3 linked regions of the Macaca mulatta genome follow. The protein of the gene in region 1 interacts with the protein of each later gene in a biochemical or structural test. Links are inferred from orthologs where the notes say so. Each region holds a gene or a part of one and is shown in the gene's direction. Other genes may lie near its edges. The genes, in order: KPNA2, CSE1L and KPNB1.

The links.
Region 2: the proteins of KPNA2 (region 1) and CSE1L form a complex in vitro, tested with the Homo sapiens proteins (2 studies listed by BioGRID). The link is inferred for Macaca mulatta from reciprocal best matches to the Homo sapiens genes KPNA2 and CSE1L.
Region 3: the proteins of KPNA2 (region 1) and KPNB1 form a complex in vitro, tested with the Homo sapiens proteins (6 studies listed by BioGRID and IntAct, with this or other methods). The link is inferred for Macaca mulatta from reciprocal best matches to the Homo sapiens genes KPNA2 and KPNB1.

The regions. Positions count from the first base shown.
Region 1 is NC_133421.1:77,794,112-77,797,764, forward strand, and holds part of KPNA2 (importin subunit alpha-1), read left to right. Parts: intron 1-454; coding exon 455-723; intron 724-975; coding exon 976-1,070; intron 1,071-1,170; coding exon 1,171-1,434; intron 1,435-1,920; coding exon 1,921-2,154; intron 2,155-2,402; coding exon 2,403-2,585; intron 2,586-3,653.
Region 2 is NC_133415.1:101,888,632-101,892,284, forward strand, and holds part of CSE1L (exportin-2), read left to right. Parts: intron 1-234; coding exon 235-402; intron 403-515; coding exon 516-645; intron 646-2,043; coding exon 2,044-2,109; intron 2,110-2,576; coding exon 2,577-2,779; intron 2,780-3,653. UniProt on the Homo sapiens protein: Export receptor for importin-alpha. Mediates importin-alpha re-export from the nucleus to the cytoplasm after import substrates (cargos) have been released into the nucleoplasm.
Region 3 is NC_133421.1:62,364,327-62,367,979, reverse strand, and holds part of KPNB1 (importin subunit beta-1), read left to right. Parts: intron 1-5; coding exon 6-107; intron 108-2,940; coding exon 2,941-3,165; intron 3,166-3,653.

The DNA.
Region 1 (3,653 bases):
GTGTGAACCTGGGAGGTGGAGCTTGCAGTGAGCTGAGATCCGGCCACTGCACTCCAGCCTGGGCAACAGAGCGAGACTCCGTCTCAAAAAGAAAAATGTGCTTAACCACAACTATCAGGGAGAACAAATTCAGTTAACAATGGGAATCTAACCCTGTCAGAACGTCAAAAGTTTTTTTAAAAAGTGACAAGATTTGTAGATTTCTGCAGGGATGGAGAGGAGGGTAATCTACATTAATTTTTGGAAAAATGGTAGTTAATGATACCGCATATATAGCACCATATAGGTAATCTGTTCAGCTTCTCTTAGATTCCAGAATGTCTCAGCATTTAGTGATTTACTTAAAAGGTTGTCTGAAGTTCTAAACTGTTGAATTGCATTTTAAATTGGTTTTTACACAAACTCCTTTTGTTAACCACTTTCAACTTTTATTTCTCTTTTTGTTCCCCTTTAGGAAACTACTTTCTAGAGAAAAACAGCCCCCCATAGACAGCATAATCCGGGCTGGTTTGATTCCAAAATTTGTGTCCTTCTTGGGCAGAACTGATTGTAGTCCCATTCAGTTTGAGTCTGCTTGGGCACTCACTAACATTGCTTCTGGGACATCAGAACAGACCAAGGCTGTGGTAGATGGAGGTGCCATCCCAGCATTCATCTCTCTGTTGGCATCTCCCCATGCTCACATCAGTGAACAAGCCGTCTGGGCTCTAGGAAACATTGCAGGTACTTGGACTTGAAGTTCTTTTGACTGAATGTATCTAAGCGTAATGAGTTCAAAGAAAGGCCTTATAAATAGTAACGACTTCGTCAAGTTTTGAGCTTGCTTTCAAGCCGTTATTAGGAATGAAAGTGTCGTCTTTACAAAGGCAGCAGAGGGGCATCTAAGTACGTTTGGGAGTTTTTGCTGGTGCATCAGTCACTGAACATTGGTGGTGTTGGACAAGATAATAAAATTAATCTTGCTTTTTTTTTCAGGTGACGGCTCAGTGTTCCGAGACTTGGTTATTAAGTATGGTGCAGTTGACCCACTGTTGGCTCTCCTTGCGGTTCCTGATATGTCATCTTTAGCAGTAAGTTACTAACATGAATAAAGTTACTCACTTCTTCATTCTAATTTCCCCCATCTTCTCAAAAGACAGAACCTCTCATTGCCTATTTTTTTCCCCCTAGTGTGGCTACTTACGTAATCTTACCTGGACACTTTCAAATCTTTGCCGCAACAAGAATCCTGCACCCCCAATAGATGCTGTTGAGCAGATTCTTCCTACCTTAGTTCGGCTCCTGCATCATGATGATCCAGAAGTATTAGCAGATACCTGCTGGGCTATTTCCTACCTTACTGACGGTCCGAATGAACGAATTGACATGGTCGTGAAAACAGGAGTTGTGCCCCAACTTGTGAAGCTTCTAGGAGCTTCTGAATTGCCAATTGTGGTAAGTTATTTACTTGTAGATTAGGACATAAGTATAAAAAGCATGATCAGGGCTGGGTATGGTGGCTCACGCCTGTATAATCCCAGCACTTTGGGAGACCAAGGCGGGTGGATCCCCTGAGGTCAGGAGTTAGAGACCAGCCTGGCCAACATGATGAAAGCCCATCTCTACTAAAAATACAAAGAAATTATCTGGATGTGGTGGCACGCGTCTGTAATCCCAACTACTTGGGAGGCTAAGGCAGGAGAATTGCTTGAATCCGGGAGGCAGAGGCTGCAGTGAGTCGAGATCGTGCCATTGCACTCCAGTCTGGGTGACAAGAGCAAGACTCCTGTCTCTCAAAAAAAAAAAGCATTATCAGTTGATACTAATATTGAAATATTACCTATTTCATACCCATGATGGGCCTCTTGTTAAAACTTTTAGGGTACAGAATTTCTGAAGTGCTGGGAAAAAACCAGCATCAACATTTTTTTTTTTTTTCAGACTCCTGCCCTAAGAGCCATAGGGAATATTGTCACTGGTACAGATGAACAGACTCAGGTTGTAATTGATGCAGGAGCGCTCGCTGTCTTTCCCAGCCTGCTCACCAACCCCAAAACTAACATTCAGAAGGAAGCTACATGGACAATGTCAAACATCACAGCTGGCCGTCAGGACCAGATACAGCAAGTTGTGAATCATGGATTAGTCCCATTCCTTGTCAGTGTTCTCTCTAAGGTAATGAAGTCTTAGGATTTAATCAAGTCATTTTTAGTATTTATAGAAAGCTCTGCTTGATAAGCTTCTTCACGTGCAAGAATCTTGGGTTCTACTTGGAGTCCTTTGCTGAAAAATACCCAGTAACCCCTTTCACTTACAGTTGGATAGAACCTTGGTACTTTGAGTCATTGTTTTTGTGAAAAAGTACTCCTGGAAACTTATTCTTGCAACTTTCTGAAATAAAACCATTTCCTTATGTTTAATAGGCAGATTTTAAGACACAAAAGGAAGCTGTATGGGCCGTGACCAACTACACTAGTGGTGGAACAGTTGAGCAGATTGTGTACCTTGTTCACTGTGGCATAATAGAACCGTTGATGAACCTCTTAACTGCAAAAGATACCAAGATTATTCTGGTTATCTTGGATGCCATTTCAAATATCTTTCAGGTAAGACCTATCAAGGTGGCTTTGTTTGAATTTGAACTTGATAATAATCAGTTTACTATTTAGACCTGGGGGAGGGCAACTGTTGTAAGTTTAGTCACTAGTAAGCCACAGATTCAGACAGCCTGTTTAGGTGGGCCACACCTTTGATTAAAAATGTGGCAGGCATTATCAAAGATGAAAGAGATGACAAGTGGATGATGGGACCTGAATCGAAGTCGGGCGTTTATGTGAACTCATCACATCTGTTTACTTACTTGATTTAATGTCCCAATTTCATACTGAATTTTGGTGAAATTAAATTTGAATGACTTGGCCAGTCATGGTGTCTCATGCCTGTATCACAGCACTTTGAGAGTCCAAGGTAGGTGGATCACCTGAGGTCAAGAGTCCGAGACCAGCCTGGCCAACATGGTGAAACCCCGTCTCTGCTAAAAATACAAAAATTAGCCATGTGTGGTGGCAGGCACCTATAATCCCAGCTACTTGGGAGGCTGAGGCAGGAGAATCGCTTGAACCCTGGGCCAGGGGTGGAGGTTGCAGTGAGCCAAGATCATGTCACTTCACTCCAGCCTGGCCGGAAGAGTGAAACTATCTCAGAAAAAAAAAATTTGAATAACTTATATTTTTCTTCTGGTTGTATCCCTAATTGATCCAAGCATACCAGCATATGGCACTTTGTCATAGTGATTGGTGGTAGGTAAGTCCTACTCATCAACTTTAGATTCTAGAGATTTTTACATATAGAAGTTGAGTCTACAGGCTGGGCACAGTGGCTCACACCTGTAATCCCAGCATTTTGGGAGGCTGAGGTGGGCAGAGCACGAGGTCAGGAGTTTGAGACCAGCCTGGCCAACATAGTGAAACCCCGTCTCTACTAAAAATACAAAAAATTAGCCGGGTGTGGTGGCAGGCGCCTGTAATTCCAGCTACTTAGGAGGCTGAGGCAGGAGAAACGCTTGAACCCGGGAAGCGGAAGTCACAGTGAGCTGAGTTTGCGTCATTGCACTCCATCTTGGGCAACAAGAGTGAAACTCTTGTCTAAAAAAAAAAAAAGTTGAGCCTACAATA
Region 2 (3,653 bases), on another chromosome or scaffold:
CACTACACTAGGCCAGAATATACTGTTTGAATCTAATACGGAAATATTTTGTAATTCAGCAACTTATTTGAAAGACTTGGTGAAAAGATTGATGGTGACATAGCTGTAGTTTACAATAACTGATTTGATTTGGATTTAATTGATAATGAGTCTAGTTCAGGAATTTCAGTTACTCCTCTTACTTATGTTAGCATTAGAGTTGTATGTTGGAGTTTTTGTTTTCTTTTATGTGAGGATGAAGAGGAAGCCGGCTTATTGGAGCTCTTAAAATCCCAGATTTGTGATAATGCTGCACTCTATGCACAAAAGTACGATGAAGAATTCCAGCGATACCTGCCTCGTTTTGTTACAGCCATCTGGAATTTACTAGTTACAACGGGTCAAGAGGTTAAATATGATTTGGTAAGATGACGGTGGAGAAAAATAATTAAAAGACATTCTCTCCCTATCTTCCCAAGAAATAAGCTGTTGAGTTTTGCTTTTAAAAATATTCTTGTTTTTGTGTTTTGTTCCAGTTGGTAAGTAATGCAATTCAATTTCTGGCTTCAGTTTGTGAGAGACCTCATTATAAGAATCTATTTGAAGACCAGAACACGCTGACGAGTATCTGTGAAAAGGTTATTGTGCCTAACATGGAATTTAGAGGTAATTACGGCAAAGGTATATTAGTATAAATTTACTAAGTCTTTGTTATTTGTAATATATTCAGTCTAATTAATTTATTACTGAATAAAACTTGTATATCATTTATTTCTTATTTTCTAAACCAAGACAGAAGATGTAGTATCTGTAATGAGTTTTCTTGTGCCATGTGAAGGTTTTCTCATGGAAATATTAAATAAGACTTCAAAAATTCCTTTACATTAAGACGATAAGCTACCTGGAATCTCTGTTTAGCGAAAGAATTTGATTTTGTTTCATTTATTGTTTCACTGAATTTTTAGCTGGCTTTGTGTATTTATTTATTTGAGGCAGGGGTCTTGCTCTGTCACCCAGGCTGGAGTGCTGAGTATGGTGCTGGGATTACAGGCATGAGCCACCATGCCTGGCCAGGATTGTGTTTTATATCAAAATAGTTATTAGATCAGTGGTTCTCAAATTATGTCTAGAACAAAATAAGGAAATTAAGGACAATATAGCATGAGATTTTATTTCCTGTTGTGTTTTCATAAAAATATGTTTAAAGGATAAATCTTCTGGCTGGGTGTGGTGGCCCATACCTTTAATCCCAGCACTTTGGGAGGCTGAGGTGGGAGGAACACTTGAGCCCAGGCCAAAATGGCAAAACCTTATCTCTACAAGAAATAAATTAGTTGGGTATAGTGGCATGTGCCTGTGGTCCCAGGTACTCAAGCGGCTTAGGTGGGAGTTTTGCTTGAGCCCAGGAGGTGGAGGCTGCAGTGAGACATGATCACACAACTGCACTCCAGCCTAGGTGACAGAGTGAGACCCCATCTCCAAAGTGTGTGTGTGTGTGTGGATAGATTTTTTTTTTTTTTTTAATTTATATGATAAAAATAGAGATGAGATCTCGCTGTGTTGACCAGGCTGGTCTCAAACTCCTGGCCTCAAGCGATCTTCCCATTTCAGCCTCCAAAAGTGCTGGGTTACACGCACGAGCCACCATGCCGGCCAGATCTGACATTGTCCACTCTACTTATTTGTTGTTGAAATGACTTTAATGAAATAATAGTGATTAAAATTAGGTTGTTGGTTTTTTAATCTTATTTGGTGAAATTTAAAGCTGGCATTCTGATATTGATCCCTAACATTTTTGACAGTTGCAGGTGTAATCCAATTCTGGGGAAATTGTCACATTAGAACAAGTGAGCCTGTCTCACAGTTGTGTGAATTACCTAATACCTCACCTTTCAGGGTAGCATTTGCTGCTCTAGATAATGATTAAGAGTATGTGAAGTAGTCATCTGATAGGAAAGAATTCTTTGCTGTAGAACAAGGCAGTTCTACATACTCTTCTGCATTCTCAGCTGTAAAGTACAGTGACGTCTTTTGGAGTGTTATCTGAAATATCTCTCTCTGTAGCTGCTGATGAAGAAGCATTTGAAGATAATTCTGAGGAGTACATAAGGAGAGATTTGGAAGGATCTGGTGTGTATCTTGGTTTTTTAGTTACTAGTCTTTTAGCAAGCCAGTTTTAAGGTGGTTCTCTTTCTAGTAAATGGGAGAAGTGGGATTGAGCATAAGTGTTTTTTCAGCTGGCTTTCGTTGAGAACTGTTGTCCTTCTTCAGCTTGTCTTAAAAAGCTCTTATATGTGACCTGCATGAAAGTATCAAAAGTTGAATCATTTGTCTATTCTTACATAGTTAGTATTTATCAAAATTCTGTGATTCTGTGACCTCTTTAGTTTCATTTTGATTTCGTATTTCTTGGGGGATTTTTTTTTCATTGTTTGTGTTGCTGATAGCTATTGGGTGGCCGTTTGTGTTTTGTTCTTTTTTTTTTCTTTCTACAATCATAGCCAAATTATTCCAGGCAATTTGTTTTCTTATAAATTGGGTCAGTTTGTTGTTAGTTGTTTTTTTTCCCCATAATATATTTTCTTTTCATTTCATAGATATTGATACTAGACGCAGGGCTGCTTGTGATCTGGTACGAGGATTATGCAAGTTTTTTGAGGGACCCGTGACAGGAATCTTCTCTGGTTATGTTAATTCCATGCTGCAGGAATATGCAAAAAATCCATCTGTCAACTGGAAACACAAAGATGCAGCCATCTACCTAGTGACATCTTTGGCATCAAAAGCCCAAACACAGAAGGTAAATATTTTTAATGTGGTTTTGTTTCTAAAACAGACATCAGTGACACCCACACAAGTCAAAAAGAAATAACGTCTCTGATAATAGAGCCTACTCTGCCAGATAACCTATTAATTCTGATTTAAGATTTATATAATCTCTGAAGATGGCTTTATGTTGATGTATTGAGCACTTAAGTTTCTTATAGACCAGAAAATTGATTATGCCCCACTTGTTACCTTAGCTGAGATCTGCTGTATAAAATATGCTTAACTTAGCTGTTCTTTAATTTTGGAAAGTTTATTGTCTATTAGTATAGTCTTATTTTACGTTTTTACTTTTTTGAGACAGAGTCTCGCTTTGTCACCAAGCTGGAGTGCAATGGCGCGATCTCAGCTCACTGCAACCTCCACCTCCTGAGTTCAAGTGACTCTCCTGCCTCAGCCTCCCAAGTAACTGGGATTATAAGTGTGCACCACCACACCTGGCTAATTTTTGTATTTTTTGTAGAGACAGGATTTTACCATATTGGCCAGGGTAGTCTCCAATTCCTGACTTCATGCGATCCTTACACCTCCGCCTCCCAGAGTGCTGGGAAACAGGTGTGAGCCACCATGTCTGGACAATATAGTCTTATTTTATATTTTATACATAAGCAATTTGTGTTTTGAAGTGTTCTTTTTCTTTTCTTTTCTTTTCTTTTTTTTTATTTGAGACATCATCCAGGCTGGAATGCATTGGCAAGATCTCAGCTTGCTGCAACCTCTGCCTCCCGGGTTCAAGCAATTCTTGTGCCTCAGCCTCCCGAGTAGCTAGAATTACAGGTGCATGTAACCACACTGGCTAATTTTTTGTATTTTTAGTAGAGATGGGGTTTTGCCATGTTGGCCAGGCT
Region 3 (3,653 bases), about 15 Mb from region 1:
CTCAGGCAGCAGAACAAGGACGGCCCCCTGAGCACACCAGCAAGTTTTATGCCAAGGGAGCACTACAGTATCTGGTTCCAATCCTCACACAGACACTAACGAAACAGGTGAGTTACCTTCCAAATATAGGTAGGTAAGCTGTGAAACCTTACTAAGAGTAAACTGTTTGCTGTGGAACAGTTTCCATGGAAGGAACTTGGCAACCCATCAACTATTTGATGTTCTGTTGTTGATGGCTCAGGAACAGCTAAGCTGGATCTAGAAGATCCCCTAGGCTCTGACTTCTTTGTGAAGGAGAACTAGGTCTTAACATCTCAGATGCATCTTGCTCAGGAGTGAGCCACATGCTGCTCTGATTTCCTGAGTGCTCCATTGTCCAAACTCATAGAAGAGAGGTGCTCTATCAACGCTTCAGTGAAGCAAGGTTGGGAGCAAAGATATGCTGGTTTTAGGCCACTTGCCTATCTGTTCTAATGTCTAGGATACTTTTGTGAGTTCACAGGGTATATGCTTTTAAAATGCTAAAGAAGTTGGATATGAGTTATTCAGATCCTAATGAAGGACCCCAACCCAAGAAAGAAAGCCTTCTACTAATCCTTTAAGATGATTAACTTGAATTATTAAGATTCAGACTGAAAGTGAAGTGACAAGACTTCATAAAGATTGGGGTCTAATGAGTAAATATAGAAGTTCTTTTATGAGGACCGTGTCCTGGTTGCTTTTGTTCTCCCGACTTTATGCAACACAGTGTTTCTTGATACGGTGTTTGGGAAGGTTCTTTTGGTGCATGTGAAGTTATTACCAAAGAGCTGCTAGTACTCTGAGGAAACAATGCTGGTAACTGAGCACTGCATCATTTCTTTGTACACAGGAATGTAATTGTTTTTAGGGATGTGTATGATTCTCAATATAATAGTTTCAAAAGCTAAGTAGGGATGTGTTTGGATTAAAATGAACTGGATGTTCCCTTACATTTTAACCTCTCCTTTCAGGTTTTTTGTTTTTGTTTTTTTTTTCTTTTGTTTTGAGACGGAGTCATACTCTGTCGCCCAGGCTGGAGTGCAATGGCATGATCTCGGCTCACTGCACCCTCTGCCTCCCGGGTTCAAGCAGTGTTCCACCTCAGCCTCCCAAGTAGCTGGAAATACAGGTGCGCACCATCACAGCCAGCTAATTTTTGTATTTTCAGTAGAAGTGGGGTTTTGCCATGTTGGCCAGGCTGGTCTCGAACTCCTGACCTCAGGTGATCCGCCCGCCTCAGCCTCCCAAAGTGCTGGGATTACAGGCATGAGCCACTGCGCCTCGCCTATTGTTGCTATTTTTATCTTTTGACTTTGTGTCTTGTCTTTTGTGTGTGTGTGTGTGTGTGTGTGTGTATATATATATTTTATATTTATTTGTTTGTTTATTTCTTAGACGGAGTCTCACTCTGTCGCCAGGCTGGAGTGCAGTGGTGCGACCTCGGCTCACTGCAACCTCTGCTTCCTGGGTTCAAGCGATTCTCCTGCCTCAGCCTCCTGAGTAGCTGGGACTACAGGCATGCACCACTACGCCCAGCTAATTTTTGTATTTTTAGTAGAGATGGGGTTTCACCATGTTGACCAGGATGATCTCGATCTCTTGACCTTGTGATCCGCCCACCTTGGCCTCCCAAAGTGCTGGGATTACAGGTGTGAGCCACCACACCCGGCCTACTTTCTTATATTTTTACTGTGCTTTTCCTCTTTGAGAACAAATTATTCTTTGTGTGATTTTCTGAAACTGCGTAGGCAACCTGCCTTAAGTTACTATGTGGTGTGAATGGCCACAATTAGGAAGCTATACCTTGGATTTTAACTTAAGAGGAGATATTAGTGGAATCTTTTCTTTTTTGAACTTTTGTGTTTTTGTTTTTTGTCTTTTTTGGGGGGTGGGGGGTACAGAGTCTCACTCTGTCATCCAGGCTGGAGTGTGGTGGGGCAGTCTTGGCTCACTACAACCTTCATCTCCCAGGTTCATGTGATTATCTTGCCTCAGCCTCTCGAGTAGCTGGGATTAACAGGCATGTGCCACTATACCCAGCTAATCTTTGTATTTTTAGTAGAGGCCAGGTTTCACCATGTTGACCAGGCTGGTCTCGAAGTCCTGACCTCAAGTGATCTGCCTGCCTTGGCCTCCTAAAGTGCTGGGATTACAGGCATGAGCCACTGCGCCTTGCCTCTTTTTTGAACTTTTGATTGAATCATGTCTTCTTTCCAGTCATGAAACTCCCTCACTTTCCTGGTCTGTTATTCCATAAGTTAATTTTTGTTGATTTTGGACGTTATTTATTCTTTTTATTTATTTATTTTTTCTGAGACAGTCTCACTCTGTTACACAGGCTGGAGTACAGTGGTGTAATCTCGGCTCACTGCAACCTCCGCCTTCCAAGTTTAAGCAATTTTCCTGCCTTGGCTTCCTGAGTAGCTGGGACTACAGGAACGTGCCACCACACCTGGCTAAGTTTGGTATTTTTAGTAGAGACGGGGTTTCACCACCTTGACCAGGCTGGTCTCAAACTCCTGACCTCAGGTGATCCACCTGTCTTAGCTTCCCAAAGTACTGGGATTACAGGCGTGAGCCACCACGCCCGGCCAATTTTGTACTTTATATAACTGGAATCATACAGCATACACTCTAGTTCTGCATTTTGTTCTAAATGTTTGGGATTCATTCTTTTTGGATGTAGTTGAAATTTTTTCATTCTTGTTGTTTAGTACTAAATGGAATCTTCTTCCTTCTGAATCTTGTTTAACAAAGACTATGCTGTGAGGAATGTTTGTGGAAGAGATAAAATATAAAGGTCTTATATTTTATTTCCCTGAAGTTTAAGTTCTAAAGACATTCAAGTAGTCAGAGGACCTTTAGAGTTAAAATGATTCTTTGGACAAAATCTTAACTAGTGCCATATTCTTTCACCAGGACGAAAATGATGATGACGATGACTGGAACCCCTGCAAAGCAGCAGGGGTGTGCCTCATGCTTCTGGCCACCTGCTGTGAAGATGACATTGTCCCACATGTCCTCCCGTTCATTAAAGAACACATCAAGAACCCAGATTGGCGGTACCGGGATGCAGCAGTGATGGCTTTTGGTTGTATCTTGGAAGGACCAGAGCCCAGTCAGCTCAAACCACTAGTTATACAGGTGAAGCTGAGGGATTTTTGGAGTAGAAAGTAGAATATTTATTGTTTAAACTTAAAGCATATCTTTATTTTTCAAAACAAAACTGTAAATTGTCATCTACAAAGATTATTTATAGATACCTATTTACTTTTAATGAGAGTAAAATGTATTTCTTAGGTTTCTAATTAGTCAGCATGATCCAGAGACTTTCGAAAAAAGCCAAAAGAGAAGTCACCTTTAATTTCATTGCCCAGAAATAACCGCTCTTAACTCTGTATTTATCCTTGAAGCTTTTTCCTGTGTAAATGTGTGTGCAACAGGCGCTTTCTGTGCAGATTGTTTTATAACTTGTTTCTTCATTTAATACTATGTTGTAAACATTTCCCGATAATTTTTTTTTGCACCTAGCACTGATTCCCCATAATTTTAAATAATGGCATTATTATTCTATTCTTTGGACAAAATGGCCTTTATATAATGAAAATGTTCTTGTGGAAATGTTGTGCTTG